2 linked regions of the Elephas maximus indicus genome follow. The main gene of each other region encodes a partner of the protein of the gene in region 2 in a complex. Links are inferred from orthologs where the notes say so. Each region holds a gene or a part of one and is shown on either strand. Other genes may lie near its edges. The genes, in order: BAK1 and BNIP5.

Region 1 (15,851 bases), about 3.7 Mb from region 2:
CCCCAGAACAGAACTGAGATGTACTAGGAGCTTAATAAGTATTTGTTCCATGTATTCTTTGAGAAACCTCTATGAGTCATACAGCACTTCATTCAGCCCACACAAGAAGCCTGGGATCCGCCCATTTCACAGATGTGGAAACTGAGATTCAGAGAGGCATGGGATCTGTCTGCAGTCACATGCGTTTCTCAGAGTCAGAGCAGAGGTTCCAACCCAGTCCAGTCTCTTCCCTCTACCTTCCTGATCTCCATCTCATTTCCCAGCTGGAAAATAACAGTTTTACCTTCCCTCTCACCCCAGCTGGCTACCAGTGACCCCAGTTGGGGACCCAAGCAGCATCCCCCTGGGGTTCCTGGCCAGGGGCCTCCAGGGAGGGGCATCCCACGGCCTCCAGCTTTGATGTGCCCAGATTTCCCTCGGTCCACCTATCCTACTCCCAGCTCCCAGATGGCCCCACCTACTGCCTTCCTTTCAGCCACCAGTGAGTCCCCAAAATACCCTCAGGATGGACCTCAGGACTGCTTTTCTCACCTCTGTCCTACCAGGGATACAGTGAGAAAAAGACAGACAGACAGACACACACACACACACAGAGAAGCACAGGGAGAGAGAGAGAGACAGAAACACACAGGTACCAATAGAGAGAGACAATAGATAAAGGAGAAGAGAGAATCCCAGACAGTGACAGAGACTTGGCAAGTCCTCACATAAAGACCCAACTTAACTTCCATGGGCCTGACCAGGGCCACTGCCAGCCCAATAGACCCTTTTGGACAAGTTAGAAAAAGGCTCCCCCTCAAGGTGGACACAACACTGGCAAGGGAGCATGGCTGGTGAGCCGAGCCCAGTGGACTGGGTTTCAGATCTTTCTTGCCCTTCAGCCTGCACAGCTGTTCTTGGCAGCCCTACCCTGGCTGTCTGTACATCCAGGAGAGGACGGCACCTTTAAAACACAACCAGTTCCCAGGTCTGACCCACAGATGTGTCTGCAGTGTTCCCTCAAGGCCCATCGGACATGCCTGGCCTGTCTCCATGTTGGCCTTGAGCCCAAGACCCACCCTCTACACTCACTCTCGGGGCCTCCCACCATCAGCTTCAGTCACTGGTAAACGGTACATGATCCCCACCACTCCCCCCCAACCCCCCTGGCCTGCCGATCCACAAACCAGTTGTCTCTCCAGGATGAAGGCCTCACCCTAAGACCTGATTGATTGTTTGGGGGCATTTTAGACCCCACAGCAGGTCCTTGGGCCACCTCGCCCCTGCCTATCCCACCCATGAGTGACTGGCCAGGCCCATCCACAGAAACCAGCCCAGGAGCCCTGTGAGGCCAGGAACAAGCCCTCATGGCTGTGGTGCACGCAGATCCCCCTCCTGCTACAGCTACAGGACCAGCTGCCACACTTCCTGGTCTCAGAGGCACTCTCCTCTGTAGTCACAGGAATCTTGGGAGTGGACTGGAGATAGCCTGTTCCTCACTGACAGAAAGGAAAAATGAGGAGCAGAGGAGGGAGGGACCAGCCTGGGTCCCAGGTAGTAAAACCAAAGTTTCTGCTCTGCTCACTACCCAGCAGCCCCCACCCTGTGGGCTCTGAGATTGAGATGCTCCTGTCCCTGAAATGGGGTGGCCACAGCCCAGAAGCTGAGGTGGCTTGAGTGACCACTTTATTCTCAAAAGAAGTCAAGGATCCTGAGCTGCCAGCAGGGGCCCAGCCTACCTCAATCCTGTGTTATGCCTTCCTGTGCCCAGATAGGCCCAGGAGGCAAGCCTGACCCAGGGGGCAATGGTACAGGATAGGCAGAAGCTCTGTACTGGGGGGATCGGGGCCTGGGATTCCCTCTCCAACCTAGGCCTGATCAGAAGGAGAGGTGTTCTCTCCATGGGGCCCATAAACAGGGGGTGGGGCCAGAGTGAGTGCTATGTCCATGTGGGCTGGGGCAGGGGCCAGGTGTACCCACGGAGCCCACAGGCCACCCTTCAACCCCCCCCATTAATGGTCTGACTGAGACTGGAAGGACCCCGGAGGTCGTGGTCCCCAGGCCTTCTGTTAGCCCAAGACAGGAACCATTCCCAAAGCCAACTCTTTGGGGTTGGACTAGACTGTGGGATAGAAGATGATACTGGTGAGGAATGAACTTCTTGGATCAAGTAGACACATTAGACTATGTGGGCATCTCCTGGCTGGAGGGGAGATGAGAGGGCAGAGGGGGCCAAAGCTGCCCGAATACACACAAGGAGAGAGAGTGGAGGGAAGGAGTGTGCTGTCTCATTAGGGGGAGAGCAATTAGGAATATATTTAAAAAAGCAAGGTGTATATAAATTTTTGTATGAGAGACTGACTTGATTTATAAACTTTCACTTAAAACACAATAAAAATTAACACCCCCCCGCCCACACACACAACAGCCTGCACTCTTGGAGGAAATGGTTAGTAGGACAATTAGGGCACAGGTGAGTCATCTGGTCACAAGGCCACCTCCCAGCTGACTCAGGGGGACAGTCCAGATGGGTCTTTCCACCAGCCCCTAGCTCAGAACCTGAGTCAAGGACTCCATTGACTCTGGCCAAGAAGCCCAGGAGAAAGCCCTCAGCCCCATTTAAGAGATGATAGCCTCTCTGAGCCCTCCCCCTTCTGATTGCCACCCTCCAGCCGGATTGAGGGGTGGAGGGGACTTCCAGCTTCACTGGGCTGGGCTGGGCTGGGGCCAGGTGTGTACAGCTCCCCACCTCAACCCAAGCATGTGGCTATGGGCTCATCTCTCCAGCAAACATTTGTTGCTATCAATCCTAGTAATTATTAAGAATGGCAGCCATGTTCTGACATTGAACTTCAGCTCTGCAGCAGTCCTCAGATTGGACACAGTAATGAAGGACGTGGTAGGGGTCAGTGGGGAACGTCAGACAAGCTACCATAAACAGGAGTGCTGCTCTCTTTCATATATATGCTTAGAAGCTTGGCCTGCACCCAGGCAGAGGGGAGGAATTGGCCATCCTCCAAAGCAACAGGTTTACAGGGAGGTCAGCAGAGCCTCCTGACAAACAGTGCCCCCTGGTGTCTAAACCAGGACTACCCCCCCCAACCATGGGGTTGCAAAGGATGGTTGCTCCAGCCTGGGACCCGCCCCTCCTGCATCAACCCCAGGGACCTGTCGTCTGTTCTCCCAGCCCAGGCCTCCTGAGTCAGGGGCCCTAAATAGCTGAGGCGGTCCCCAGGGTCCCAGGGCCGCTGCTTTCCTGGCTTTGTCCCTTAGCTAGCTGGGCAGGAACTTCCTGCCAGAGAATTCCCGGATCCTCCTGGTGAGGCCACAAACATGGCCTGGGAACTTGGGGAACTCGAGGAGGGAGGGATGTCAGGGAAGCTCCTCCCAGCAAGCGCAGGACTGTGGGCAGCAGGGCCTCCCTGGCAATCTGGAGGTGGGCTGTCTCCCACTCCCATGTTGGGCCCACCCTACCTCCCGTCCTCCTGGCTCCAGGGCCCTGCTGCAGAGATCCCACCAGAGACCAGGGCTCTGCAGCCACACCCTGGCAGCCCCCAGGGTACAGACTGGGGATTAGACTGAGATCCTGGACAGACTGGGCTTGGATGAAGCTGAGGATGAAGTGGTGGGGTCCAAAGACAGACAGAAGAGCCACCAAAAGCAAACTGGGTTTTTATTACCAACACTGCAGGCCTGGATCCAATGGTGGGGCAGTGCTGGGCCAGCCCACCCTGCAGACACAAGGACACTGGTCATTCCAGGACCGCTTGGCCCTAGGGGCTCCTTGGATATGCCCTAAGAAGAGGGGGACACATCCCAGGCAGGGCAGACTCAGGGCCAGTGCCCGCTTCACTCTGGAGGCCAGTTCCCCATCTCGTCCATCTCCTCGAGCAGCAGGTGCTGGGGGCAGAAGGGGTGAAGGAAGATGCCTCAGCTTTTTCGGGCTCCCTCCCGGCCCTGCTCTGCACCCCATAACCTTCCCATCTACTCCCAAGTGACAAGTTCCCAGAACCACCTTTTCTAGACCTTCCCCACATCCCCACAGCTGACCCAGCTCCCTCCCCCACTACTTCATGGAGGGACCTTTCTCCCTCCAACTTACGGGAACTCCTTGGAAGTTCCAGGAGTCAGGTACCACAGCCAACCCCTCCCTTCCTTCACCGCTGTCCTGGACACCATGCCAAGGGGGCTTGGTGCCCTCCCCGCCAGTTTAGGGTGGTGCTTCAGCTGCCTCAGTGCCCCTCCCCCAGGTCCCCAGCATTCCCCAAAGGTGGGGAGGGACTTCCTTCCCCCTCAGCTTGATGTCCCTGAGGGCAGATACAGAGAGAGTGGGGGGAGGGGATGATGAGGCCAGGACCCTTGAAACACCCAAGCGAGAGAGGTATTCCTGAGGCAGCTCTGTCTCCAAAGTGAGGACTGGGCTGGGCCCTCACTTGCCACTACCCAGGGACTCCCTGAAAAAAAAAAAAAAGCCAAACCCATTGCTGTCAAATCGATTCCAGCTCATGGTGACCCCATGTGTTACAGAATAGAACTGCTCCATAGGGTTTCCTTGGCTGTAATCTTTTCGGAAGCTGGTCACCAGACCTTTCTTCCGCAGTGCCACTGAGTGGGTCTGAACCACAAATCTTGAGGTTAGCAGCTGATTGCAAATCACTTGGTACCACCCAAGGACCTTAGGAACTCCCTAGGCCCCCCAATACTGCACACGCTACCCCAGAGCTGTGACCACTGGGACTGGGTTAGGTTCCCACCGCCAGCAGGCAGGCTGGCTTAGAAAGTGGTTCTGGAGGAGCAGGGAGGGATGAGAGCAGACTGAAAGAATCAGAATCCTGAAAAGGGAACAGTGAGAAGGCCCTGTCAGAGCTATTGCTCTGTGCGGTTGTGGGTGAGGTGACGCAGCTTGTTCAGCACGGTAGAGGGGGCTCCTGTGAGACAGGCGTGAGGGCAGGGTTAGGACAACGAGTAGGATGCCTTTCTGTATCCATTACCCCCAAGGAGTGAGAGTAAGAAGATCGTAATCCCTGGCACCAGGAGTGTCCTTACAGCTATGGCTACATACTCTTCATCTCCCAGATCCTTGCAGGTGGAGTAACCAAGGCCTATATTCAAAGTCACAGAGCAAGTCAGGCGGAACAGGCACTCTGACCAAAGAACTTGGTCTCTGAACCCTATGCTCTTGCCTTTTCTCAGCTACATGGACCAAGAGGGGCAAATCCTGAATGAAAGACTGAACTGATGAATGAAATGGAACTGAGCTCAAAAAAGGCACAGACAGGTTTTCTAACAACAGAGCCATCAATGTGCACTCAGAGAAGCTTAATCTTTAAGCCCCAAGGCTGATGTCGGGGAGGGTGAGCAGGACGGCGGTCCTCAAACCCACCCAGTGCATCTATGTGTGTTTGTGGAACTGCGTGGGAGTGGGACAGAGAATGGAAAAACAGCAACATTATATGAATTACAGATGCACAGAAAAGCCCTACAGCCTGTCTGGAAAAATCCCCTCACTGTACAGATGAGGAAACTGAGGCCCAGAGAGGTGAAGGGACTTGTCCAAGCCCACACAGCAAGTGAGGCAAAGCTAAGACTTAAAAATGGACATCTGGGTCAGTGAGAGACAAAAAGATAGATGGAAAAGTGTGTGAGTGGGTGTGCCACACACACACACTCAAGTGCAGGGGACCAGGGTCCTAATCTCAGAAACACCATCACCAAGCAGAGGTTATATCTCCCCAAAGTGTAGACTGATGCCAGGGGCAAGGCCCTGTGAAGATGAGAGGCCTCCAACCCCACTATCTCTGGTGCCCGCAAGCAGAGAGCTGGAGGTCAGGATGGGCTAGACATACCTGGCCATCCACAACGCCCGCCTCCTCCAGGGTGATCTCTGGCTGGGCCAGCAGCTCCCGGCCCTCTTTGCTGCCCATCTTCCAGAGGCGGGACTCCCGTTGCACGGCCAGAAGCTTCTTCAACTCTGACTCCACGAAACCTGCGAGTCAAGTCGGAGAGGTGGGCGGGGAGGGGTGGAGGCAGGAGAAGAGGGGAGCAACCTGCTGGGGACCCAAGGAAGAGAAGGGGGTTCCTGTTCTCCAAATCTCATCCCACCCCTGTTCGATCTCTGGTCTGTAGCTCTTTCTTCTTCCATTACCTGGAACCAGCCAGATACCATCTCCCCACCACCCTGCCTTCCCCAGGAAGCTCACTTTCCGCAGATTCCCTCCTGCAAAGCCTGAAGACATGTAGGAGGGCAGACATCTGCCCCCCTCCCTCCAGCCACAAACTCAAAAGCATAGATCTAGAGCCCAAACTGCCTGGTTCAAGTCCCAGCTCTGCTACATACTAGCTGTGTGACTTTGGAGAAGTTATTTAAGCTCTCTGCTCCTTAGTTTCCTCACTGTGAAGTGGAGATAATGATAGGACCTACCTCATGAAGTTGCAATGTGGCATCATGTGAAAAGTACTTAGAATAGGGTCTGGCTCATAGTAACAGTTACGTAAGTGCCAACAATAATTTTATCGTATTATGTTATTACCACTAAACCAACTGCTCCCCATGTCTAGGCTGCTGCGGGGGCGGGGGGGGGGGGACACAGCAATGCATGATGGGAAAACCAGGAATGGAGGTGGCTTTCCAAAGTAGCTACAAGGCAATGGGCTACCCGATCTAGGCTGAGGAAAGGGTGGCGCTCCAAGAGCCTCAGCCTCAATCACAACCCCCATCACTGCCTCTCAGCCAGGAGGGAGGAGGCCCTTTCTCCTTCCGGCGAGACCCAGCCCAGCCACACCGAGGTAACACACGGATCGCCGGTCTGGGGCGATCATCTTAGGTCCTCTGATACCACCTGGTGGTCAGAACTGGTATTGCACTTCTGAGCCTCTGGCCAACGGGGGGCTCCCTGGGCCAAGGGGCAGGTTGGGAGGGGAGGAGGGGGCACCACACTTACCCACTGTATCCGTTGACCTAAAAGTCTTATGCAGTGGTGATTGGAGGGTGACAATGCCTGGGACACAGAGGTTAAATAAGCTGTCCTCTTCCTCCACTTCCTCTTCCTCCCCTTTATCCTTCTCTGGGGGCAAGCCGACCTTGAGAGGAAACTGGAAGGATGCCAGGTCTCTGAGTAAGTGAGGAGGGCCAGGGCCCACACTTGCAGCCTCCCTCCCCAGATTCAACAGGAAGTGGGAGGAAACAGCTCTCAAAGGGTTAAGAAAAGGGACTGCTGTCCCTGGGCCCAAGCCAGATTTGGGCATGGGGGAGGGGACCCATTGGGGCCTCACTCCCACCCCTACCACCCCAGGCTGGTCCCACAGACCTTGGCCATGGCTGATTTCTGGAGCTGCTTGTACAAGCTGAGGAGGTGGTTCCAGGGAGTCATCCCTGCCTTTGAGGAGGCCAGCTTGAGGTCTCCTGTGAAGGAACAGCAGTCACTGCCAGGCTGATGGCTGTAGGGGGTGGCCCAGGAGGGTAGGGATGTGGGAGGCCTGAGCTGGGAGTGGGGTTTCTTTGCTTTCTTTAGCAAACACCAATTATGTGTCAGGCACAATTCTAGGCACTTTACAAATAACATCTCATTTAATCTTTGCAATTACCCTGAGATAAAACCAAAACCAATTCGATTCCAACTCATAGCCACCCTATAGAACAGAGTAGAATTGCCCTATAGAGTTTCCAAGGAACACCTGGTAGATTCAAACTGCCAACCTTTCGGCACTACGCCACCAGGGTTTCTGCCCTCCGAGATAGGTACTATTATATGACCATTTTATAAATGAGGAGGCTGAGACAGAGAGGTTGAGAAACTTGCCATTATCACACAGTTTGGCAAGGTAGTTGGGATTCAAACCCAGGCAGTCTGGCTCCAGTGTCTCCTCAGACTGTGTCCTGTGTCCTGCCGGGCCCTACACCCCTGAGAAGTCCTAGAGGAAGAGGGCCACACTCACCGTCAAGCAGATACTCTTTCTCTTCCTCCCTGGTAAAGGTCTTGGCCCTCTGCAGGCATTCTTGCTCCACCTCCAGAGCCTGAGCAATCCTGATTCCAAACCACAGTCAGGTGGGGGAGGTGAGTAGGGCCCAGAAATATGGCAGGGGGTGCCCCAACCTCCCCCAAGGCTCTCTGACACACCCTACTCAGCCCCTTCCGTTCTCCCTCTCCCAGCAGCCCCCTGTTCTGCCCTCTGGGGTCTTTGTCATAGGGGGGGCTATCCCTTCCCAAAAGTCATGTAAGGAGGGTGTGGGGAGGTATGTCTCTGCTTCTTCACATGGGGTTGGGAAATAGGAGAGAGGGTGGGGAGGGAGGGCAGAGTTGAGTGGGCCTTGGAAAAGGAGGGTGGAGCAGGAGTGGGAGCCCCAACCACCCTGGCACATCAGCTCCTCAGAGCTGAGGGGACCTGGCCCCTCCCTCTTTCATTCATGGTGCCCCCATCCCCCTCACTTGTGGGGGAACCCTTGTCTTTGCCTCCTCCCCCACCCAAACCCCCCAATTCCAGGCTCTTCCCCTCACTTGATGCTTCCATACCTTGGCCCTACCTTTAATCCCTGGCTCCTTCCCCCACCACCTAACCGCCCAGCCCCCATACCCAGCCCCTGTTCAGCCCTTTACTCATCTAAGGACTACCGTTCCTGGACTCTGCTCAACTTAGGTCCCCTATCTCAGGCCCATATCCTTCCACCATCTTACATCCTAGGCCCTTTCCCCACCAGGGTTCCCCCATCGCCACCACCCACAGCCCCAGCCCCTTACCTGCCCGAGGCCCCTGTATCCCCAGAGGCCTGCCTTGCTGCCTCGTTCTTCTCTTCCTCCTCCTCCTTCTCAGACAGGCTGCCCAGCACCTCCTGACTTCCTCTGGGCAGGACCGACTTCACCTCTTTGCCCTGGGCCAGCACCTGCAGGATCTCCATGGGGGTGAGGGTCTGGGGCCACATATCCCCCACCCCCAGGCATGAGGGATCATGCAGTAGCAGGTGCAGGGAGCCCTTGGGAGTGGCTACCATGAGGGCATCAGGCAGCATGGAGGGTGGCTCGATCTTGCTCTCTTCTTGGCCCTGGCGATCCATCATGTGGACGGCATCCTGCTCTTGAGAGGGACACGTCCCACCTCTTGCTAGTCCCTTGTTAGAGCGCTTTGGGCTGCTCTTGCTCCTCATCAGGTTACGGAAAAAGCGGAACATGGAGGAGTGGCCCAAAATTCGGGGTCGGTGGGTTGGAGCTGGGGCCTCCATCCTGAAGGGGACCCTGACTCAGAGGGAGGAGCCCTAGTGGTCACCCCAGGACCAACTGCTTAAGAACAGGAGGAGTTTTCAAATGAAAACTTCCAGTTAGAAACTTCCAGGAGTTCTAGAAGGCAAAGGTCAGGTGGGGGGTGGGGTGGGGAGGGTGACTTTGGTAGGGCATGGGGTGGGTGGGAGAGTAGTTAGGGGCAGAGGGGACAGGCAGGTGATGAGACAGGGGGTCTGAGGAAGCTGGGGGGGATGAAGACTTGGGGGAGGGGATCTTGGTGAGAGCCCCAGGAGGCCTGGTGGGAGTGAACAGGAGAGGCTGGGAGGGACTAGGATCCCCAGAATGGGGCAGGGCACTGTCGAGGACTCTACCCATACCTCCACCCAGCCAGCTTTCTGGGCTTGCCCTGTCCCTGAGAACCATTTCCTGATGCCAGACAGTATGCGTCCTTCCTCTTCTCTGCCCCCTTAGCACCCAGCTCACGCATGCCCAGAGGGCAGCACAGACCTCACCATGTTTTCATCTCTGTTTACCTGCCTGTGATCGTCAGGGTTTTGTATCTAAGGTGCTGGCGCATCGGTTGAATCTCATTTATTATTATTATTCCCCGCGGCACCTACAGACCTGATTATAAACCCAGCTCAGTGACCTTGGGGGAGTACCATATACCAGCTGAGCCTCAGTTTGTTCATCTTTAAAATGGGCAGAGTTCACTGACCGTACCCGAAAGGGATGTTGAGAAGATGTGATGAGACAATGAGGTTGCTAAAGTGCATGGCACACGGGTGGGTGCTTAAGAAACTTCGCCATCCTGGCTTTTTTATTGGTGTTGATTGATGGAAGGGGTAAAAGACCAAGACAAAGCCAGGGAGTCAGGGGTAGACAAAGCAGTGGGAGAGGGGAGCCGCTCCATCCTGGCTGGATCTGGGGCGGGGCGGGAGCTGCCCTTGGCCTGGGAGCCAGGCTGAGAACGGGTGTCGCATCCGGCGGCCACAGAGGAACTTCCTCTAGAGGGAGCTGATTGGAGCAAGCGCGGCCCCGCACCTCTATGATCTGCAGCTCTGCGCGGGTCCTTCGGCCACGGGACAAGCTGAGGCGGCATCCAGACGCCGGGAATGCACTGACTTCCATTCCTGGAAGCCGGGCCTGGGCAGGCATCCTGCCCCAGAGAGCAGCCGCTGGCCCCTTGGGATCCCAGGCCTCGTCCCTGCTGAGCCATCCCCAGTCTAGGCCAGGCTCCGCGCAGGTAAGCTGGGGAGGTACTGCCCCTCCAACGCCCTCATCGCAGCCCCAGCCCCAGCCCCAGCCCCAGCCCCAGCCCCAGCCCCAGCCCCAGGGTGAGGCAGGGAGCTTTTGAGGAGGTGGATGGGGAAGGGGAGGCCTTCAGGGCTTGCCTCCACGGCTCCACCAAACTCCGCTGAGAGTTTGGCTGTGCTGGGGCTCCGTGCTGCTGACCCTTAGATGGCTTCCCGTCTTGCTGTGGCCCTGGGGTGCTGGAAAACCGGATGCCAGAGAACTGGGACCCTTAGCAGTCTGGAGGGTGGGGGTGGAGGTCAGAGCCAAGGTCAAGAGCCGGAGAGAACTTTCAGGGCGGTTCCTGCCATCCAGGAGCCCTAGACCGGGTCTGAGGCCTGATCAGGCATCTCCACTGGGGAACACTCGGCCAGAGTCAGTAGCAGCAAGCCCAGGAGGTGGGGGTAGAGTGGACTCCCCTTACCAGGAAGTTGGGCCACTTGGAATGGGGGACGGGGGTAGGCCCAGGTTGATGCAGACTGCTGACCCTGAGGACCCGCCTGCTCCTGGTAGTGAACCCCTGGGGTGGTGATAGAGGGGGTTGGAGGTGCAGTCAGCATCCTCCTGTCCTGTGGTCTTGGGATGCCAGGTTTCAGGGACCAGAGGGGAGGGAAGCCATCTTATCCAGTAAGAAGCTGCCCGGATGGGGTTGTGCCAGGCAAAGGCCTGCTTTAAGGAGGCCTGGTGCCCCCGGGCATAGGAGAGGGGGGTCTGCCTTAGGTGTGTCCCTGAGAAAGTGGAGGGGTGGAGAACTGAGTGCACAGGTGATCAACCTTTGCCCATTCCCTTCTTGGAGGGCTCCTGGGAAAAGATGGCCCCAGGCCTGAGAGGGAGGAAGGTGAAGGTACGGAGGCCCTCCCTGAGGAGGGGGCTGCTGTGCTTGGCTCTGGGTGGAGCAGCCCTCCTCAGGGCCAGGAGGATGGGTCATTCTCACCAGGGTGATGGAGGCATCTTCAGGGAAAATGGGGTCCTGGAAGGGGGTGCAAACTGAAAGTGAAAGCTCAGTCCAGGAAATGCTCTTTCTTCACAAACAGGCTTCACAGAGCAGATCGCTAGAGCAGCCCTGTGACCAGGACTGGGCAAAGGGGAAATTGGGGCAGGAGGGCAGCTGTGTGGTGTGGGTGCGTGGTGTGAGGCAGGGTGGGGGCTGTGAGGAACGCCCTGCTTCTTCAGCTCACTCCAAGGCAGGAGTTGGGAGGGTACAGGCAGGAGGTAAAGGGAAAATGGACACCCTCTCAGGTCCACAGACTGGAAAATAAATCTCCAATGAGTGTTGAGTTTATGAACTCACAGAGATTCAGAGAACCAACCTGAGTTTCCTTGACTAGCTATGTGGCACTAACCACCCCATGCTTCACTTCTCCCACCTGTGAAATGGGTACAATGATACTTACCTCACTGGGTTAATGTGAGTTTTCAACGCCCAATACCAGGCAAGTGCTCATAAGTGGTAGGAGTATATAGTAGGCACTCAGGAAATGTTTGGGGCTAGATAGCCTGAGTTGGAAAACAGGTGTGTTCTGACTGGCCAGGGGGAAGTAGGGCCTCCGAGAAGAACTTCATGGGTCATTGGCTAGAGGTGGCAAGCTTGTGGTAAGCGTTGCTGGGTAGGGTACAGGAGGTCCCAGGAGCAGCTGGAAGAACTAGTCTCACTTGAGGTGAAATGGGACTGAGCTCCACGAGGCCGCTGCAGCAGCCACACCCTCCCCAGAGGCCCTGGGTGCCCATTGAGGACACCAGGGTGCAGAGAGCTGGGCGTGAATCTTGACCACACACTCGGCATGTCTTTGGCTGCCTCACCTCTCTCACCGCACCATCTATTCAGGGTTACCAGTTAAAATGCTTGATAAATTCTGCTTTTGCCCAGCAGACTCCACAGGGACCCTCGGTGGTGGGATAAGAAGTGGCTAGAGCAAGGGCTGGGGGGTTGTTCCAGGAGTGGGGGAGCCCTCCCTGCTGTGTGGCCTGGGAACCTCTCTGGAATCCGCAGTTAGTACTCCTTGCTCATCCCTATCTCTGCTTTTTCTCACCCGTCCCCACAGGCTGACGCTGTCCTCCACTAGAACCTGAAAAATGGCATCTGGGCAAGGCCCGGGTCCTCCCGGGCAGGACTGTGGAGACTCTACTCCACCCTCCACTTCTGGTAATGATCTTCCTGCCCCCTCCATCACTCATCACATAACCACAGGGCTGTCTGTGTGCATGGAGAGAGTGGAAGTGGACAGGGCCAGGACTTGTGGGCAGGCTCTCCAGCCTCAGTTTCCCCACCTTGGAGAAAGGCCAAAAGTATCTCCCTGCCCAATGCAGGTGGCCTGTTGAGCTCAGAAGCTGGAGCTGCAGTCAAGTTTAAGCCCTGGGAAGGGGAGGAGTCTTGGCGGGGGAGGCTCCAGAGGCTGAGAGAGGCCAGGGAGTGAATGGGAAGATGGGCACTGCGCCATCCTGGGGCAGAGGGGTGGAATCAGGGGCTGAGGAAGGAGGAAAGAATGAGGCGTGGATGTTGTATCCTTGTAGGAGGAGAAAGAAGGAAGTAAATTGGCTTATCATCGAGTCAGGTCAGCTAAACAGGGAGAGCAATTGTGGTGACTTTGGGGGAAGAAGTAAGATGGGTGCCCTCCCTCCCTCTTCCAAGGGGGTGGTCAGGGAAGCCTGGAGCTCAGGGTCTACCACACAAGTCTAGGTCCCAGCTCTGTCCCTATTTCCCTATTTGACTTTTCTAGGCCCAAAGCCACAGTTTCAAATGTGTTTCTCATGTTTCTGGAGCCACAGGTATGGGTACCTTATATACACCAAAATACTCGGGAGCCCAAGTGCCTGTGATTATAGCCTGGCTCCCCTGCTTGTTCTAGCTGTGTAATCTTGTACAAGTTACTTACATGCCCCGTGTCTCAGTTTCCCCATCTGTAAAGTGGGGATCACCTACTTCAAAGGGCTGTTATGAGGGTTAAATGAAAAGTGTCTGTCTGGACAGTACCCAGCAGAGTAAGCATTAGAGGGTTTTTTTTTTGTATGTTTAAAAACACATTGTCATTGAGTTGATTCTGACTCATAGTGACCCTATAGGACAGAGTAGAAACTGCGCCATAGGGTTTCCAAGGAGCGGCGGGTGTATTTGAACTGCCGGCCTTTTGGTTAGCAGCCAAGCTCTTAACCACCACACTTCCCACTAAATGTTTACTAGATGTTAACTAAGGGGTGAGAGCCCTGGTGGAGCCAGTGGCTAAGAGCTCCTCTGCTAACCAAAAAGTCAGCAGTTCAAATCTACCATCTGCTCCTTGGAAATCCTATGGGGCAGTTCTACTCTGACCTATAGGGTCACTATGAGTCAGAATAGGCTTGACGGTAATGGTTTTTTTTATTAACTAAGGGGTGGGAGTAGGGACATTTCTGTTCCCAGGAGAGGACCACTAGCCTTGAAGAACCCACAAAGGGTGGGGTACTGGGATTGGCTCTCCCTCCCTGACTGTCAGCTTTGATCCTCAGAGGTGCAGGTAGCCAGGGACGCGGAGGATGTTTTCCGCAGTTACGTCTTTTACCGCCATCAGCAGGAGCAGGAGGCCGAAGGGGCGGCCACACCCGCTGACCCGGAGATGGTCTCCTTGCCCCTGGAGCCTAACAGGTGAGCAGTGACCCCGGGGCCCACAGGGACATCAGGGAGGAGGGGCCCACCCGGGGTCAATGGGTAAGTTCTGGACTTGGGGAGGCCTAGGGAGACTTGTCCTTCTCCCATTGTTGCTCTTTTTTCATTTCGGGTTCCCACACCCATCTGGGACCTTGCGCCATTTTATTTTAGCCCACACCTGCTCATTGCCCCTGAGCCCAGCTTTCATGTGCTGAGAACTCTGTCAGGGACCTCCAAGGAGGGGTGCACAGGGCCAGGGTGTCTTGAGCAGAACCGCTTTGCTGTGAGGCCAGCCCTACTGTGTGCTGTGTGCCCATTTGTCTGTTCACCCACCTGCCTCCCGTCCCTCCAGTGTCATGGGGCAGGTGGGTCGGCAGCTTGCCATCATCGGGGATGATATCAACCGGCGCTACGATGTGGAGTTCCAGACCATGTTGCAGCACCTGCAGCCAACACCACAGAACGCTTCCCAGTACTTCATCAAGATTGCCTCGAGGTAGCGCGGCCCCCTCTCCATGCATTCCAGCCACTGCCTCCCTGCTGTCCTGTCACTACACGCTGTGTCCCTACCCATGTGATGGGTTCCTCTAACAGTGTCAGCAGACCCGTCTCCGGTCCTGGATCTGCTGTTAACTCACTACTGGCCTTGGCTACCTGTCTTGCTCTCTCTGGGCCTCAGACTCCTCATCTTTTGAGCTCTGACACTGAGGACTTGACTGGTTAGACCAAGAACTTTAGAGAGGCCATGAGTGGGGATGTTCCCACAGCTCCCCAGCCTAGCTGTAAGACAGCCCTCCTTCCAGTCTGGAACCATGTTCCACACAGAAGATGGTAAGGTTGCTAACCTCTACCAGGCCCTAAGAATGGCTTCCATTTAGTATAATATGACATCTATGAGGCAATCTGGTGTAGTGGTTAGAGAGCCCAAAGCTAGGTTCAGATTCCAGCTTTGCCGCTTACTGGTTTTGTGAAACTTCCTAGCCCTCAGTCTTCTCATCTGTAAAATGAGGAAATTATGCTTATAGCACCGTCCACAGTTAGGAATCGCTAGCTATTGTTACCATCTGAGTGAGGGAGGTTCATGTCAATGCAGGTTTGAAGCTGAGGGTGAAGCTAGGAGTAAGTGATAGATTTAGAGTTGGTGCTAATGTCCTGCCCCTGTCCTTGGAGGCCCACTCCCACCCCCACCACTGTGTTTCTGGGACCTGTCCTAACCTCCTCTTCTGTCTTCTCTCTCGGCTGTCCCTCGGGCTGCCAGGCCAGCAGCAACACCCACAGGTAATCTCCCTGCTGCCTCCATCTGCTCATTCTGCCCTCTGCCATCTCCATGCCACTTTGCACCTGTAGACTTCAGGGCCACACCCTGGTGGCAGCATCCAGCTCAGCTGCCCTCTGAGCTTTCTCCTTTCACAGAGAACCAAGCTTTTTCCAAATCAAGGCCAGGCTGGGGCAGCCTCTGTGGCCTGGATTCACAGCTAAGCCATTTTGCTTTCCAGTTGGGAGAGGGGTGGGAGGTACAGGGGGTTGAAGAGGGACAACAGCCTGCTGCCTCCTGGGAGTCCTCAACAGACAATATGGGATGCTTTTTTACCTACAGCCTGTTTGAGAGCGGCATCAACTGGGGCCGCGTGGTGGCTCTCCTAGGCTTTGGCTATCGCCTGGCCTTGCACGTCTACCAGCATGGCCTGACTGGCTTCCTGGGCCACGTGACCAGCTTCGTGGCAGATTTCATGCTGAAGCACTGCATC
Region 2 (15,714 bases):
TTTCAGGAAGCACCATATCGTTGTTCATGGTGGTTGTACAATTTTACATTCCCGCCAGCAGTGTGTGAGAGTTCTAATCTCCCTGCAACCTCTCCAACACTGGTTATTTTGTGTTTTTTGGATTAGTACCAGTATTGTTGGGTGAGATGGTATCTCATTGCAGTTTTGATTTGCATTTTCTCTAATGGGTAATGATCGCGAGTAATTTCCTCATGGGCCTGTTAGCTGCCTGAATGTCTTCTTTGGTGATGTGTCTGTTCATATCCTTTTAATTGGATTCTTTGTTTTTTTTTACTGTTAAGGTTTTGTAGTATCTTGCAGATTTTAGAGATTAGATGCTGACTGGATTTGTCATATTCAAATTTTTTCCCCAGTCCGTAGGCTGTTTTTTTTTTACTCTTTTGGTGAAGTCTTTTGAGAGCGTGAGAGTTCTAATTTTTAGGAGCTTCCAGTTATCTAGTTTCTCTTCTGTTGTTTGTACACTGTTAGTTATGGTTTGTATACTACTTATACCTTGCATTAGGACGTCTAGCATTATCCCTATTTTTTCTTCCATGTTCTTTATCATTTTAGATTTTATATTTAGGTCTTTGATGCATTTTGAGTTAGTTTTTGTATGTGGTGTGTGGTATGAATCTTGTTTCTTTTTTTTGCAGGTGGACATCCAGTTATGCCAGCTCCATTTCTTAAAGAGACTGTCTTTTCCCCTTTTAATGGACTTTGGGACTTTGTCAAACATCAACTGCTCATAGATGGATGGATTTATCTCTGGATTCTTAATTCTGTTCCATTGCTCTATGTATCTGTTGTTGTACTAGTACCAGGCTGTTTTTGACTACTGTGGCTATATAATAGGTTCTAAAATCAGGTAGTGTGAGGCCTCCCACTTTGTCCTTCTTCTTCAGTAATACTTTACTTATTTTGGGCCTCTTCCCTTTCCATGGAAACCCTGGTGGTGAGGTAGTTAAGTGCTATGGCTGCTAACCAAAAGGTCAGCAGTTCGAACCCACCAGGCACTCCTTGGAAACTCTATGGGGCAGTTCTACTCTGTCCTATAGTGTCGCTATGAGTTGGAATTGACTCGATGGCAGTGGGTTTTGGTCCCTTTCCGTACAAAGTTGGTGATTTTTTTCTCCATCTTGTTAAAGAATGCTGTTGAAATTTGGATCAGGATTGCATTGTATCTGTAGATTACTTTGGGTAGTATTGACATTTTCACAATGTTGAGTCTTCCTATCTATGAGCGTGGTATGTTTTTCCACTTATGTAGGTCTCTCTTGGTTTCTTGCAGTAGTGTTTTGTAGTTTTCTTTGTGCAGGTCTTTTACGTCCCTGGTTAGATTTATTCCCAAGCACTTTATCTTCTTGGGGGCTGTTGTAAATGGTATTGATTTCGTGATTTCCTTTTGAAAGTTCTCTTTGTTGGTGTAGAGGACATTTCATCATTTTGAGCCTCAGTTTCCCAATCTGTGAAATAATGATATATATTTTATAAGTATTATTGTGGGGATAAAAATAATATATGTAAAGGCTTTGTATGTAGGGCCTGACATATAATAAACATTCAATAAATAGTTGTTATTGATGTCAGAGTCCCTGCATGGTAAAAAAAAGCTAACAGACTAGCTGCTTACTGAAAGGTTGGTAGTTTGAGTCCATCCAGAGGTGCCTTGGAAGAAAGTCCTAGAGTTCTGCTTCTAAAAAATCAGCCATTGAAAATCCTGTGGAGTGCAGTTCTACTCTGATACACGTGGCGTTGCCATTAGTCTGAATCCATTTGAGGACAACTGTTGTTGTTATTCTATTAGCAGTAATTATACTGTAGACCATAAGAACCTTGCTCAAGTTTGTGCACGTGGGATTGAAGAGCTGGGCTTGTAGTGCAGCTCTGTCCAATGCCAAAGCCATGGCTTTTCCACTCCATCATGATGGCCACTCCAAGTTGCCCTAGCAGGGGAACCCAGGAATAACTTAGGGAGGGAAGAAGATACTGGGAGTCACTGGAGGGGCAAGAAAAGTTACTGACTTCTCAGGGAAGAGTGAACAGGAATGGAAATTTGTTGAGCACTTTATGCACAAGATATACATTTTGTTATTTTATATACCAACTGAAAGAATATTCTGAGACTCCCTTCTTACCAGTGGACTTTGGTCTTGGTCCTGACCTGGCATGGAAAAGGGCAGCGCCACAGACTTTTAGGTACTTCTCACAGAGGAGGGGGAAGAAGACACCTCTCTGGGGAAGCCCAGTGGGCTGGAGGCCCAGACACAAAGTGGGAGCTGGGTCTTGAATGGGAACATGCCCTCGATTCCAGACAGAGGGTGTGGCCCTGGAAGAAAGAGCGTGTTCACCCGTCAAGCCTGCTCTTTGCCCCTGGAATCACCAAAGGCCGGTGATACATTTTCATAATGTAAACCCTTTTGCTGGGATGAGGGCAGATTCTGGGAAGCTGAGTTCCATGCTCTCTAAGGTTTGAGTGTCCCTTGTGAAAATTCCACTAAAAAATATGCTCTCAGAACCACCTCAGCAACAATTCCTGAGGCTCCTCTACCAGCCCTTTTAATTTGAGACCGCTTCATTTTCACTTGGAGTCCCTGGGTGGTGCAAACTGTTAAGTTCTCTGTTGCTAACCGGAAGGTCGGAGGTTTGAGTCCACCCAAGAGGCACCTCAAAAGAAAGGTCTGGTGATCTACTTTTTTTTTTTTTTAATTAACTTTTATTGAGCTTCAAGTGAACGTTTACAAATCAAGTCCGACTGTCACATATAAGTTTATATACACCTTACTCTGTACTCCCACTTGCTCTCCCCCAATGAGTCAGCCCTTCCAGTCTCTCCTTTCATGACATCTTTGCCAGCTTCCCACTCTCTCTATCCTCCCATCCCCCCTCCAGACAGGAGATGCCAACACAGTCTCAAGTGTCCACCTGATATAATTAGCTCACTCTTCATCAGCATCTCTCTCCTACCCACTGTCCAGTCCCTTTCATGTCTGATGAGTTGTCTTTGGGAATGGTTCCTGTCCTGGGCCAACAGAAGGTTTGGGGACCACGACCGCCGGGATTCCTCCAGTCTCAGTCAGACCATTAAGTCTGGTCTTTTTACGAGAATTTGGGGTCTGCATCCCACTCATCTCCTGCTCCCTCAGGGGTTCTCTCTTGTGCTCCCTATGAGGGTAGTCATCAGTTGTGGCTGTACACCATCTAGTTCTTCTGGTCTCAGGATGATGTAAGTCTCTGGTTCATGTGGCTCTTTCTGTCTTTTGGGCTCATAGTTGTCGTGTGACCTTGGTGTTCTTCATTCTCCTTTGCTCCAGGTGGGTTGAGACCAATTGATGTGTCTTAGATGGCCACTTGTTAGCATTTAAGACCCCAGACGCCACATTTCACATGGTGATCTACTTTTGAAAAATCAGCCATCAAAAACTGTATGGAGCACAATTTTGCTCTGACACACAAGGGTTGCCATGAATTGAAGTTGACTGGATGAGGCAACTGGTTTGATTTTTCATTTTCTCTCAAGACAAAAGTGTATCTTTTGTGTTCCCTTGTTGCATACCCAGGACATGCAAGGGGGTGCATAGCCTTTCTGAACAAACATATATACTCCCAGAAAAAAAAAAAAAAATCTCTCACCGTTTTGTGTGAATATACCCATTGCCATCGAGTTGATTCCAACTCATAGTGGCCCCATAGGAGAGAGTAGGACCACCCCATAGAGTTTCCTAGGCTGTAAATCTTTCTTTTTTAATTTTTATTGTGCTTTAAGTGAAAGTTTACACTGAGCGGCTGGTGGGTTAGAACCTCTGACCTTTTGATTAGCAGCTGAGCGCTTTAGCCACTGTGCCACCAGGGCTCCTCATGAATATGTCCAGAAAAAAAAAAAAAAACAGAACCCAAACCTATTGCCATCGAATGAATTCTGAATCATAGCAACCCTGTAGGGCAGAGTACAATTGCCCCATAGGGTTTCCAAGGAGTGACAGGTGGATTCGAATTGCTAACCTTTTGGTTAGCAGCTGAGGTCTTCACCACTGCACCACCAGGGTTTGGTGAATTATACCACTACTTATTTAGTCCTTTTATTGTTGATGAGTATTTGAGTAGTTTCGAGTTTTTGTCTATCACAACTAGTTGAGAAACATTTTTAATTCTCCTGAAATCCAGATTTCAATTCCATGGAATTGGAGTGACCCTCCCAGTCCATTGCTCTGAGATCTTCTTTCGAACCTTGAGCCTGGAGAAAATTGGTTTCCTAAAGTCACCTTTAAGTCAAAAATCACCTACTAAGTACCTTAGTAAAGACCATTTTGTCTTAGGCATTGGGCTCTTTTGAAGAATCATTTACATACAGTCCATTTCCAGAAATAGAACTTCTAAGGCCTGACTAGAAGCTGTGCTTAAGGGTAACTTGTTATTATATCAACACTGTTCTGGCCCTGTTTCCATGGCAGTGTCGATGATATGGGGTATAAGAATCTTTGGATGTTCTTTAATCTTTGGAACATTTCTGACTCCCTAGTTGAATGTTACCCTGATTTGTAAATCATATACTAAATAAACGTTGATCTATTTCTATTGTTGGCTTAATATGATTTTTGTTTTAACATAGAGTTGATATGAACACTCTCGTAAATGTGTTTTTTTGGGGGGGAACCTGTGTAAGCATTTCTGTTGTGCGTCTGCCTAGGGGTGGAATGGCTGGGCCATAGGGCAGGTGTCTGTTCATTAGTAGAGATTGATTGGCACACGGATTTCTAAAGCAGTGTATGATCTTCCACTCCTTTCAGCAATGTATCAGGGTTCTGATGGCTCTGCATGCGCGTCAGGTTGTTCTGACACTGGGTGTTGTCGGTCTGAGGACCTACAGCTGCACCACAGTGTGGCTGAATCTCACAAACATGGAGGAGCGTGGAAAAAGCCAGGCATTAAAGAAAGCATGCAGTTTGACTCACATTCATATGAAGATCAAGAACAGGCAAAACGACTTGTACATCAGCTTCGTAGCAGTATTATTCACAATAGCCAATGGTGAAAATGACCCTAGTGTTTGTCAGCCATGCATGGATCCACAAAACGTGGCATCTTTTATAATGGGATAGTATTTAGCCATAAAGAAAAATGAAGTCCTGATACATGCTATGACATGGGTGAACCTTGAAAACATTATGCTGAGTGAAGTGAGTCAGGTACAAAAGGTCAAATATTGATTGGTTTCGCTTACAGGAAATATCTACAAGAGGAAAATGCAGAGTGACAAAAAGTTAGTAGATTCGTGGTTACAAGGGGCTAGGGGGAAGAAGGAATGGGAGTTATTGCTGAAGGAGTTCTGAGTTTCTGTTTGGGGTGATGAAAAGCTTTTGGAAATGGATGACAGTGATGGTAACACAACATGGTGTATGTAATTGCTGTCGCAGAATTGTACACTTAAAAATGATTAAAACGGTAAATTTTTTGTTACATATATTTTACCACAATCAAATTTAAAACAAAACAAATAAAAAACAGACAAATCTAATTGAAGCTGTCAGAAGCCAAGATAGTGTTTCCCTTTGGGGGGTCACTAACTGGAAAAGGGTGTGACAGGGAATTCTAGGGTGCTGGTAATGTTCTCTTTCTTAATCTGGGTGCTGGTCACCTTTGTGAAAACTCATCGGGCAGTATACTTATGAGTTGTACACTTTTCTGTACGTTGTCTTTGAATAAAATGTTCAAAAAATATTCTCTGTCTCCCTCTCTCTTTTCCTCTGCCATCTTTTCTCACAGCATTTGGTTGGGGTCTGTCCCCATCGGGGCTGCCTTCCTGGGCGTCGACTTGTGCAGTCACACAGATGCCAGTGCTCAGGAGAGCTGTGCTTGATTTAATGCTCTCATGCTGCCATCTTGAAATTCGTAGTACTTTTTGAACAAGGAGCCCTGTATGTTCATTTTACACTGGACCTCACACGTTACGTGGCTGGCCCTGGCCACCAGGACAGGCAGCTGCTAGTGGCTGTCCACAGATCCCTGGCCCAAAGCTTGGCCTTTGATGGGCACTAAGGACAAAAAAAAAAAAAAAAAAAAAACAGGGCATCCTAATTAGAGAAGTTGTAGAGTGCGCATGATAGCCCCATGACGGTTCTACCTTCTGTGAGAATCTTTACCAGTGGTTGTCAAGTTGACTTGCGTGGCAACACCGTGTGTGTCAGAATATTACTGTGCTTCACACAGTTTTTAATGTTCGATTTTTTAGAAGTAGATTGCTCGGCCTTTCGTCCAAGGCAACTTGGGTGGGCTTGAACCTCTAGCCACTCAATTAGCAGCCAAGTGCCTTAACGGTTTTAGGGACTCCTGTGGGAACCCAGAGGAGACCTGGTGGCACAGTGGTTAAAGTGCTAGGCTGCTAACCGAAAGGTTGGTGGTTTGAACCCATCAGTGGGTCCACAGGAGAAAGATGTGGCAGTCTGCTTCTGTAACGATTTACAGCCTGGGAAACCCTACGGGGGCAGTTCTACTGTGTCCGATAGGGTTGTTATGAGTCGAAATCGACTCCTTAGCAATGGGTTTGGGTTTTAGTATGGATGGGAACCTGAAAGTGTACATATTGCTGGGTCACAGGACAGGTACATGTATAATACCCCATTTGGCTCTGTGCTCCTGCCCTTCCACCTGGGTTTATGATTATCTCTGTGTGTGCCTGTCTTCCCAGCTACACTATGGGTTCCATGAGGCCCAGGCTTGGCTTATTCACCTCTGAATAAGAGAGAGCATGTACATTGTGCAGAGGGCATGAGGGAGGTGGTTAGTCAAATACAATATGGAAATTTATTTAACCCTTTTTTGAAGCCTGGGCCATCTCTTAGGATCATGAATTCTCTAAATTCAGCTCTGAGATAGCATTTGCACAGAGCCCAGCACCTGTTTGTTGACAGAATGAAGGAAGCATTAATAACTTCGCTACCAAAAATAAAATAGTGGCCCTTTACCAAGGATTTATTAGGTGCCAGGCATTGCTAATACAAAGAAGCATCTTAGAAAAATGCCTGGCACATAGTAGGCACTCAATACATTTTCTTCTTTTCTTGGTAAGTATCATCCCATTCAGTCCTCACAATCACTCTCTGAAGTGCATTCAAAAAACGCTCGTTTTATAAGTGCGGAAACAAGCTCAGAGAGATTGTGTCCCCTCGCCAGGGTCAAGCAGCTGACAGATGGCTTCAGATCTGGGAGGCGCCAAAGCTTAGTGCTTTCACTATTTACTTTGCGTTATTTCCCCATGTCAATTAATTAAGGTGGGACTTAAAACCTTTTTTTTTTTTTTTGCTTCAGTTTAAATAGAACTAGCTTTTTTTTTTTCCTGATTATAAAAATGATACGCTCTCTATAAAGAAAAATGCAGACACTATAGAAAGTGAAAATCTTAGATTTCTTAGAATGTTCTTTCAAGATTCACGGTGACCCTGCCTAGTAGCAGCAGGATTTGGAAAACATGCCCATTCTCAGCTCTTCCTTCTGACTTTGTCTCCAGGTTGAGGAATATGTGTATTCCGTTGATGACCTCCCTTTCTAGGTCCTTCCCTCCCTGCTGGTCTTGGGAGAGAACCGAGGGAGGTGGTGGAGGTGATAAAATGCCTGCAGAACAGGAGTGACGGTTCTCCTCCTTTCCTGTATCTTTGTTTCCCATAAAGGCTTGTTTACAAGTCCATAGACCAGCCTTCCATCCCCAGCCAGACCTGAGGTTGTTCTATGAGTGGTTGGCTTCTTGGACTTGGGTGCAGTAAGGAAGTTATCAAGTGAAACTATTTTTTCCAGGGGAACTGAGCTAAGCCTCCTGTCATTGGAGGAGCGGGAAGCAGCTGCTGTTGGGTCTGGCATAGCAGGTGCAGGAGGCGGCCTGCGCTCCAGCCCCGGGATTGGCTGCCTGTGAGCTCAGCAACTGGTAGACAGGATATATATGACCAAAAGCATCTTCTGAGCCATTCTGAACGTTGGCAACAACAATAGCAGCATCTTCTCCCTTGGAGAGCAGAACCTGACACCTTATCCCATACACCCTCCAGCCGACAGGGAGAGGCGCCCAGCTGCTGAGGGTGGTGACAGACGCAGAGCCCCCTGACTCCGTGACCCCGGTCTGCAACAGGAGGGACTTTCGTGGTTCAAGGTTGGTGAACAATATTCTCTCCTTTGGGGGCTGGAGAAGTTGGGTAGGTATTTTTGGGGTCCTGAAAGGGGGGTAGAACCAAGAGTCAGACCCTGAGTCAAGTCTCAATTCTGCTTTCTAGTTTGCTGGGGCCTCTCTGGGCCTCGGTTTCCTCATCTCTAGAAAGAGTAGGGATCCATTAAGTGGCCTCAACCAAGTCTCTTGTGAAAAGCTCTAAACTAATTTGGAATTCTAAGCTCTGAACTCAAGTCCCAAACCTGCTGCTTGCTAGCCAACAGCCCTGAGCAAAGCCCTTAAATTCCCTGAGGCTAAGTTTCCTCATCTATAGAACGGGGCATCGTGGCCTACCAGCAGGATGTGTAAGTCAAGCTGCAGAGTGTATGTAAAGCTACATAGTACAGGGAGGTATTATTGTCTATGCCTGCACCTGGATTAAAGTTCTATGATTTTAAGTTTTTTAGAAGTTAGTCCAAGGAGGGGGGGTCTTATGGAAAGAACTCTGGTGGCCTGCAGCTCTGATGGGGGCTTTGGCGCTTTTATATGCAGTTGCCTTGAGGTCTTGGATAGAGGACGTGATAGAGGGAATGAGGTATGGGGTGTGGTGGGGGCACCTCTGGGGCACACATTTGAGGCGTTGGATGGAAGGGGAGCGGTAGTCATTTTTGGAGTTCTCCAGCTTTGTGGATGACGGCTCCACTGCCCCCCACTCCTGATCTGCCCACTGCTGTATCCCCGTGCCTGGAGTTCCACCACCAAGGACTTCATCCTTTGGGTTTTGAAGGCTCCCCCAAAAGATACAAATCTGTACCGTTTGGAACACTGATAATGGGTGATACGTGTGTGGTGGTGATAATAAGGAATAGGCAGATGGCCAAATCCCACTGCTTTCCACTGAGGTGCGGGCCAGCCCAGGTGGAGCTCGTGCTCTCCACCTGTGATGTGGTTATTCACTTGACTTGTGTGATCTGAGGTGCGTTAACGGAGGCATAGGGTGCAGACACCCCTGGGCTCTGCTGTGGTCAGGCCCTGGATAAGGATCAGCTGGGGGTATCTAGAGATGGTGCCCAGGCTCATAATGGGCCTAGAGACAGTGTGATCTGAGGAACCACCAAGAGATCTGGAGAATTGGGGATGTTCCGCCTTATCAGAGAGCACTCAAAGGGGTGACGTGACCCCTCCTCAGGTGTGTGAAGACTGCCGCTGGTTGATTCTAGCTCAGTGTAAGGTGGACTTTTCTTAAAATCCATGCTGGCTAGTAGTGGATAGTTTGACCTTGAAAGGTGGTAAATTCCCATTGCAGGAAGTGATCAAACAGAGGTTACAAGACTACCTGCCAGGAATGTGGCATAAAGAATTCCTATACTGTAGAAAGAGGGTACTCTAGTGGTGTAATGGTTAAGTGCTATAGCTGCTAACCAAAAGGGCAGCAGTTGAAATCCGCCGGATGCTCCTTAGAAACTCTATGGGGCAGTTCCACTTTGTCCTATAGGGTCGCTATGAGTCAGAATCTACTCGATGACAACGGGTTTGTGTTTTTTTTTTTTTCTAATACTATAGAAGAGGAGCTCTGGTGGTGCAGTGGTTAAGGGTTCAGCTGCTAACTGAAAGGTCAGCAGTTTGGATCCACCAGCCGCTCCTTGGAATTCCTATGGGGCAGTTCTACTCTGTCCTGTAGGGTCGATATGAGTCGGAATCGACTTGACTGCAACTGATTTGCTTTTGGATACTATAGAAGGAGCCCTGGTGGTGCAGAGGTTAAAAAGCTCAGCTGCTAAGCAAAAGCTCAACGGTTTAAACCCACCAGCTGCTCCATCAGAGAAAGATGTGGCTGTCTGTTGCTGTAAAGATTTCTTGGGAACCCTATGGGGCAGTTCTACTCTGTCCTATAGGGTCACTATGAGTCGGAATCGACTTGACAGCAACTGGATTGGTTTTGGTTTATATTATAGAAAAAGGAGGCCTGCTAGCGCAGTGATTAACTGTTCGACTGCTAGCCAAAAGGTCAGTTGTTTGAACCCATCAGCGACTCCATGGGAGAAAAGACCTGGTGATCTGCTTCTATAAATTCTACAGCTAAGGAAACCCAATGGGACGTTCTACTCTGTCATATAGGGTCGCTATAAGTCGGAATCAATTTGACAGTACGCAACAATAACAATGTACTCTAGAAGGTGGGGCTAGAGACTTCTCAAGTCTCTTCCAAATCTAGGAATCTAACAGGTAATCCACAGAGGAGAAGAAATACCTCGAATGGGTAGCATCTCCCATAAAATTACAGCCTAGGAAACCCTATGGGGCAGTTTCACTCTGTCCTATGAGTCAGAGTCGACTCGGTGGCAAAAACAAAAATGCCTGGGATGCAGGCGTGGGCGAAGAGTGGACCCAGGTGTTAAGGAGGGAAGAGATGGTCACTTTGTCTTGTCCACACCTCTTCCATCCAGTCCTGCAAATGAAGGTTGAGACTCTTCTCCGAGGAACCTCCACACTGTATGTGGAGAGGTGTGGAGAGCAAACTCCATTGCCCTCACCACAGATGTGTCCTTGAGAGCTGCACTGGAAGCCACACCTTCTCAGGATCCCAGGTTGAAGTCTTTGAGCTTGGACTGGCATGACAGCCTGGGTGTGAGTGTGAACGATACCAATGAGAAGCCATGAGCTTACAGTGCAGTCCTTGGCCCTCCAGTTGACTGACTCGTTTCCTTCCCTGGTCTGTGCACCCCAGGTTGTGTATACAATCATTGCCTCTGGACGTTGGTGTCTATATCTGGGCAAATGTGGACATCTGACTCTGTGTGTATCAGTTATGAAAGGCATGCATGTGGATGTGGTTATTTCTGTTGGTGTGACCTTAGCAACTTCGCTCACCTGTAAATCCTTGGTGTAAGTCCATGCATGTGTGTGTGCCTGTATTTATGGAGGCCAGTTGGTATAAGAGAGAGAAGATGGGACTTAGAATCAAGAGGAGTGGATTCAAGTCTCAGCTTTCAACTTCCTAGCTATAGGGCCTTGGGCAATCTCTTAATATCAGAGCCTCAATACTCCCACAGCTAGCCTGATTCAAAGATCTGGGCAAAGATTACATGGGATAATATAGATGAGAGGGCTCTCTGGGTGCAGTGTGGCACAGCGGAAAGTGAGCTGGTTTTATGTCTGCGTATAGCTCATTCCCTCCATAAACACTGAGAGTCTCCTAGATGCCATGGACACAGCAGGTGGGTCCTTTGTTGCGGAGGGCAGGTGGCAAACAGTTACATTGGTAATTTTTTTTCCCAGTTACTGTTCAGTAGATTCCAACACATGGTGACCCATATGTGCCAGAGTAGAACTGTGCTGCATAGGGTTTTCAGTGGCTGATTTTTTGGAAGTAGATGGCCCGGCCTTTCTTCTGAGGTGCCTCTGGGTGGACTCAAACCTGCAACCTTTCAGTTAGCAGCTGACTATGTTAACCATTTGTATCACCTTAGCAACCTCATTGACAATTCTTCCCTTACAATTGGGATTGGAAAAATACAAGGTGTTATGAGCCCATGAAGGAGCGCCAGTCGTGTAATAGTTAAGTCCTTGGCTGCTAACCGTTTGGCGGTTTGAACTCACCCAGTAGCTCTGTGGGAGAAAGATCTGTCGGCCTGCTCCTGTAGTGATTATAGCCTAGGAAATTCTATGGGGCAGTTCTACTCTGTCACATGGGGTTGCTAGGAGTCGAAAATCAATTTGACAGCACCTAATGACCACAATGATAATAACAACTGGCATACACGAGTGTGTCTCAGTGACACGTGTGCCTGTGGTTCTGATGTGTGGGTCCACACGTGTGTGCCCACACCCACTCCCTCTGGGATCGGCGGGTATGGGTGTATAGCAGTAGGGTATTTGTTAAATACCTGTTTTGTGATGGTTACAGGTGTGGGGAAGGGAAATGGTAAAATCTCTACGTGACACACTGCAAGAGCAGTCACAGAGTGAAGCAGCTGCGTGAGCAAATTAGAGATGAGTGGATACATGATATCAGTGTACAATTTAGAAAATAAACCAAAAAAGGTGGTAGGCTTGGGAAAAACGGCCGAGCTTCCTGCTCCATAGTAACCCGAAGTCAGTTTTGCGTGCTTTCTTTTGTTTATTGTTGTTTTTAAACACGTCACTGGTATATGTCATGTCTTATCAGAAGTCATGTGATCTGCTGATTAGTTGGGTGTTTATGAGCTGATTTGGACTTTGCTCTGAAATTCACCCTCTGTCAAGGCAACAAACAAGTTTATAAGAGCAGCTGGGTTTCCAGTAACCCAATGGGTGTCTGCTGCTGTCACAGGGTTGCTGGTCTGGAAGCACGTCCTGGGCAGGGTGGGATTCCCCGATGGTCAGACTGAGCATTGGGCAAAGCAGGGGCGCAAAACAAGAAAAAAGAGGAAGGAAAAGGAAATCCTGCTTTGATGAATTCTAGATAAGCAGAATTTTACAATCAGGAAGTCTAGAAAGATTTAATTTCAGCCCATGTAGAATACGAAGTTGGGGGAGTAATATTAAAACGGAGTCCCTGGGTGATCCAAATGGTTAATGTTGTTTGGCTGCTAACCAAAAGACTGGAGGTTTGAGTCCACTCAGAGGCACCTCAAAAGAGAGGTCTGGTGATCTATTTCTAAAAAAATCAGCCATTGAAAACCCTGTGGAGCACAGTTCTACTCTGACACATGTGGGGTTGCCATGAGTAAGTCAACTCAATGGCAAGTGGGTAATATTAAAACAATTGCTTTGGGGCACGCAAAACACACCCTCCACAGAGAAGTTCCACAGAGTGTTTTATTCTTGGGGGTGGAGGGGGTTTCCCTCTTTGGCTCAATCCCTGGGGCTAGAGACCAAAACGGGGGACACAAGAGTTTGAAGACAGAACCTTTAGAACATTACAGAGGAGGAGTGGTCGGAGAGGTAGCAGGAGAACTGGGCTGAGCTCAGCCCTCCCACCCTCTCCCTGCCTCTGGGGCTGTGGCAGCTGCTGTTCGGCTCTCTCTCACTTCCCTCTGGGCTCCGGGCACTGGTTGTCCCAGGGAGGGGGTGGCCAAACCAAGGCAGATATTTTTGAAAAATCTTAAAAAACAATACTAAACTAAACCCATCGCTGTCAGGTCGATTCCGACTCATAGCGACCCACAGGACAGAGTAGAACTGCACGCAGGGTTTCCAAGGCTATAAATCTTTGCAAAAGCTGACTGTCACGTCTTTCTCCCACAGATCCACTGGGTGAGTTCAAACCACTGACCTTTGGGTTAGCAGCCGAGCCCTTAACCACTGGGCCACTAGGGCTCCTTCAAGAAGGAAAAACATGGCCTTGTGGAATTATATTGATGTTTTGATTGGAAGTAGCAGTGTGTCCTTCGAAAGTGGTAGGAGGACACTGTGGCCATCAGCAATTGTGAAAACGGTTTCCATAGCAATGACAGCTCCTTAAAAGATGACTGCGCCTCTCTTCCCATCAGCTGGGTACAGACGCTCTGGCCCTCCCTGTGATGGGCTCCCTCCAGCCAAGTTAGTACAAGAAGAGCAGCAGAGCTGAGCAAAAGGGTCCTGCGTGTTTGGCTGGTATTATGGTTTTGTTGTTGAACAGTTTATCTGCCAACCCCACCCAATTTGCCCTGACCACAGGAACGTACAGGAAAAGCAGAGATTCCTGGCACTGCACAGTCAATATTTCTTTCTGGCTCAGTTTACTTTGATCTTAAAATCAAACAGACCTTCAACCTAAATGTATCCTCTCTCAAGACCATGTACTGCTAAAGAGAGCAGACTGTGGGGTAATGGAGACCAGGATATTCTCTTTGAGGGCACATGCTGCGTCTTATTGGTTATTCTATCCCTAGCACTGAGCAAGGAGTCCCTGGATGGTGCAAAGAGTTAACGTGCTTGGCTGCTAACCAAAAGGTGGGCAGTTCAAGTTCACCCAGAGGCACCTCAGAAGGCCTGGGGATCTCCTTCGGAAACACCAGCCATTGAAAACCCTATAGAGCACAGTTCTACTCTAACACACGTGGGGTCACCATGAGTGAGAACTGACTCGATGGCAGCTGGTACTGGCACTAGCACTGAGCATAATTCTGGGCGCACAGCGGTGCCTGTGAAACAGGGAAAAATCTTTCCCTTTGTGATTTCTTCCCCTTGTTCCACCCTGTACTGTGTTTTGGAAGCACAACCATAAGGCAGCCTCTGAGGTGGGCAGTTTCCACATGAGGTACTGTTGTGTATTGCTAAGCGTTTTCATTGTAACCCAGGTGTTCCTTTTAGGGAACGTTAAAACCCAGGTAAATCCTTGTCTGCCTCCTCCCCTGGCCCATTTTCTCGGTTCTGCTAAGGTTGTCCTTATGTGGACACCCACAAGTGCTGGTTCCGGTCCTGACTCTGCTGTTGACTGGCTGTGAGATCTGGGCCATGACCTCAGTTTCCTCTTCTGGAAAATGGGCATAATGATACACCTTCCCTCCCAGGGTTGCTGAGGAATTTAAATGAGACAACAGCTTTGGAAAAGTGTCAGTGTGAGAGGTTAATATGACTCTCCTTAATGGGTGAAGGTGAACTGGCCCACGGCAGCATAATTAGCCCACCACAGCAGTTTCTGATAGGCCTCTTCTAAAGATGCTGTTTGTTTTGGTTGCAGCCCAATGGAGAATTCTCAGGATCTAAGGAAGCCTTTGCCAAAGAGGAGAACCAGGTCTCTGGAGCGGTCGCAGGACCCCAGGAAGGACTCAGAGTCGTGGGACTGCCCGTGTCTTTCTCTGCACAGCACCTACTCCAAGAAGGAGCTTCGCCGGACATCTAGTGATGGGGCTGGATGTTTCCAGAGCCTAGCTCAGCCTGCAGAGGCTCAGGGCACCATGGCCACTGCCCTCAGTCTGGAGGAGACCAACAAGCCTATCCGCAGTGAGCAGAGCTCACCACAGGACACCAAGAAGGACAAGGCCCATAGGCGGGCCCAGCCGGGGCTGCTGAAAGTCCTGTTCAACTTCTTCTTGAGGACAAGCCCTGAGGAGCCCAAAGACAAGGCCAGCAGAAGGCCAAAGAGGAAGGAGAGCCTCTCCCAGCCTGTGGAGTCCCCTGTGGCTCCTGGGCAGCCAGCTGTTAGAAAGAAATCCCAGGACAAGAAGCCCAGCCGTAAGAAAGCCTCTGGTCACAAGAAACATGTCACTGAGGAAACCAAGGGGGTTCAAGATCAGGAAGCTGCCTCACACCCTGAGGAGTTTGACCTGGGCCCAGCTCGCAAGGGTAAGCATGTGCCCGCATCCCCCGACTCCTGCCACCAAAGGGCTAGGCTACTTTAAGTTTGTTCCTCAAACCTCTCAACAGAGGGGACATGGAGGTGGGGGAACTCTTGGGAACAATGCCACTGTGAAATTTCTACATGGCGAACAACACAGTGGCTGAGAACTTGAGATTAAACTCCAGCTCCACCAGGCGCTAGCTGTGTGACCCAGGGCTGGTGATTTCCCTCTTTGAGTCCAATTTTTTCCCCCCATTGGTAAAATGGAGATAATATTTGTGGTCTCATGGCAGTAGTCACACAAATAAAACCAAAAACCAAACCCATTGTTGAGTTG

Evidence for each region.
Region 1: the proteins of BNIP5 (region 2) and BAK1 are in contact, whole or in part, in a crystal structure (PDB 8IGC), measured with the Homo sapiens proteins. The link is inferred for Elephas maximus indicus from reciprocal best matches to the Homo sapiens genes BNIP5 and BAK1. Residues at the interface, in NP_001010903.3 of Homo sapiens: Ile246, Ile247, Gln248, Met249, Ile250, Val251, Leu253, Leu254, Lys255, Arg256, Val257, Gly258, Asp259, Gln260, Trp261, Glu262, Glu264, Gln265, Ser266; in NP_001179.1 of Homo sapiens: Leu78, Ile81, Gly82, Ile85, Tyr89, Glu92, Phe93, Met96, His99, Leu100, Tyr110, Lys113, Ile114, Ser117, Leu118, Ser121, Asn124, Trp125, Gly126, Arg127, Val129, Ala130, Phe134, Ala180, Leu183.

What each region holds. Positions count from the first base shown.
Region 1 is NC_064819.1:96,357,730-96,373,580, reverse strand, and holds the start of BAK1 (bcl-2 homologous antagonist/killer), read left to right. Parts: upstream 1-10,184; 5' UTR 10,185-10,437; intron 10,438-12,526; 5' UTR 12,527-12,557; coding exon 12,558-12,627; intron 12,628-13,964; coding exon 13,965-14,100; intron 14,101-14,455; coding exon 14,456-14,599; intron 14,600-15,700; coding exon 15,701-15,851. Other genes in the region: gametogenetin-binding protein 1-like, read right to left, coding at 3,829-3,879, 5,826-5,965, 6,921-7,071, 7,287-7,381, 7,915-8,003, 8,715-9,193. UniProt on the Homo sapiens protein: Plays a role in the mitochondrial apoptotic process. Upon arrival of cell death signals, promotes mitochondrial outer membrane (MOM) permeabilization by oligomerizing to form pores within the MOM.
Region 2 is NC_064819.1:100,032,651-100,048,364, reverse strand, and holds the start of BNIP5 (protein BNIP5), read left to right. Parts: upstream 1-7,867; 5' UTR 7,868-8,137; intron 8,138-8,173; exon of another isoform or gene 8,174-8,180; intron 8,181-14,777; 5' UTR 14,778-14,781; coding exon 14,782-15,382; intron 15,383-15,714.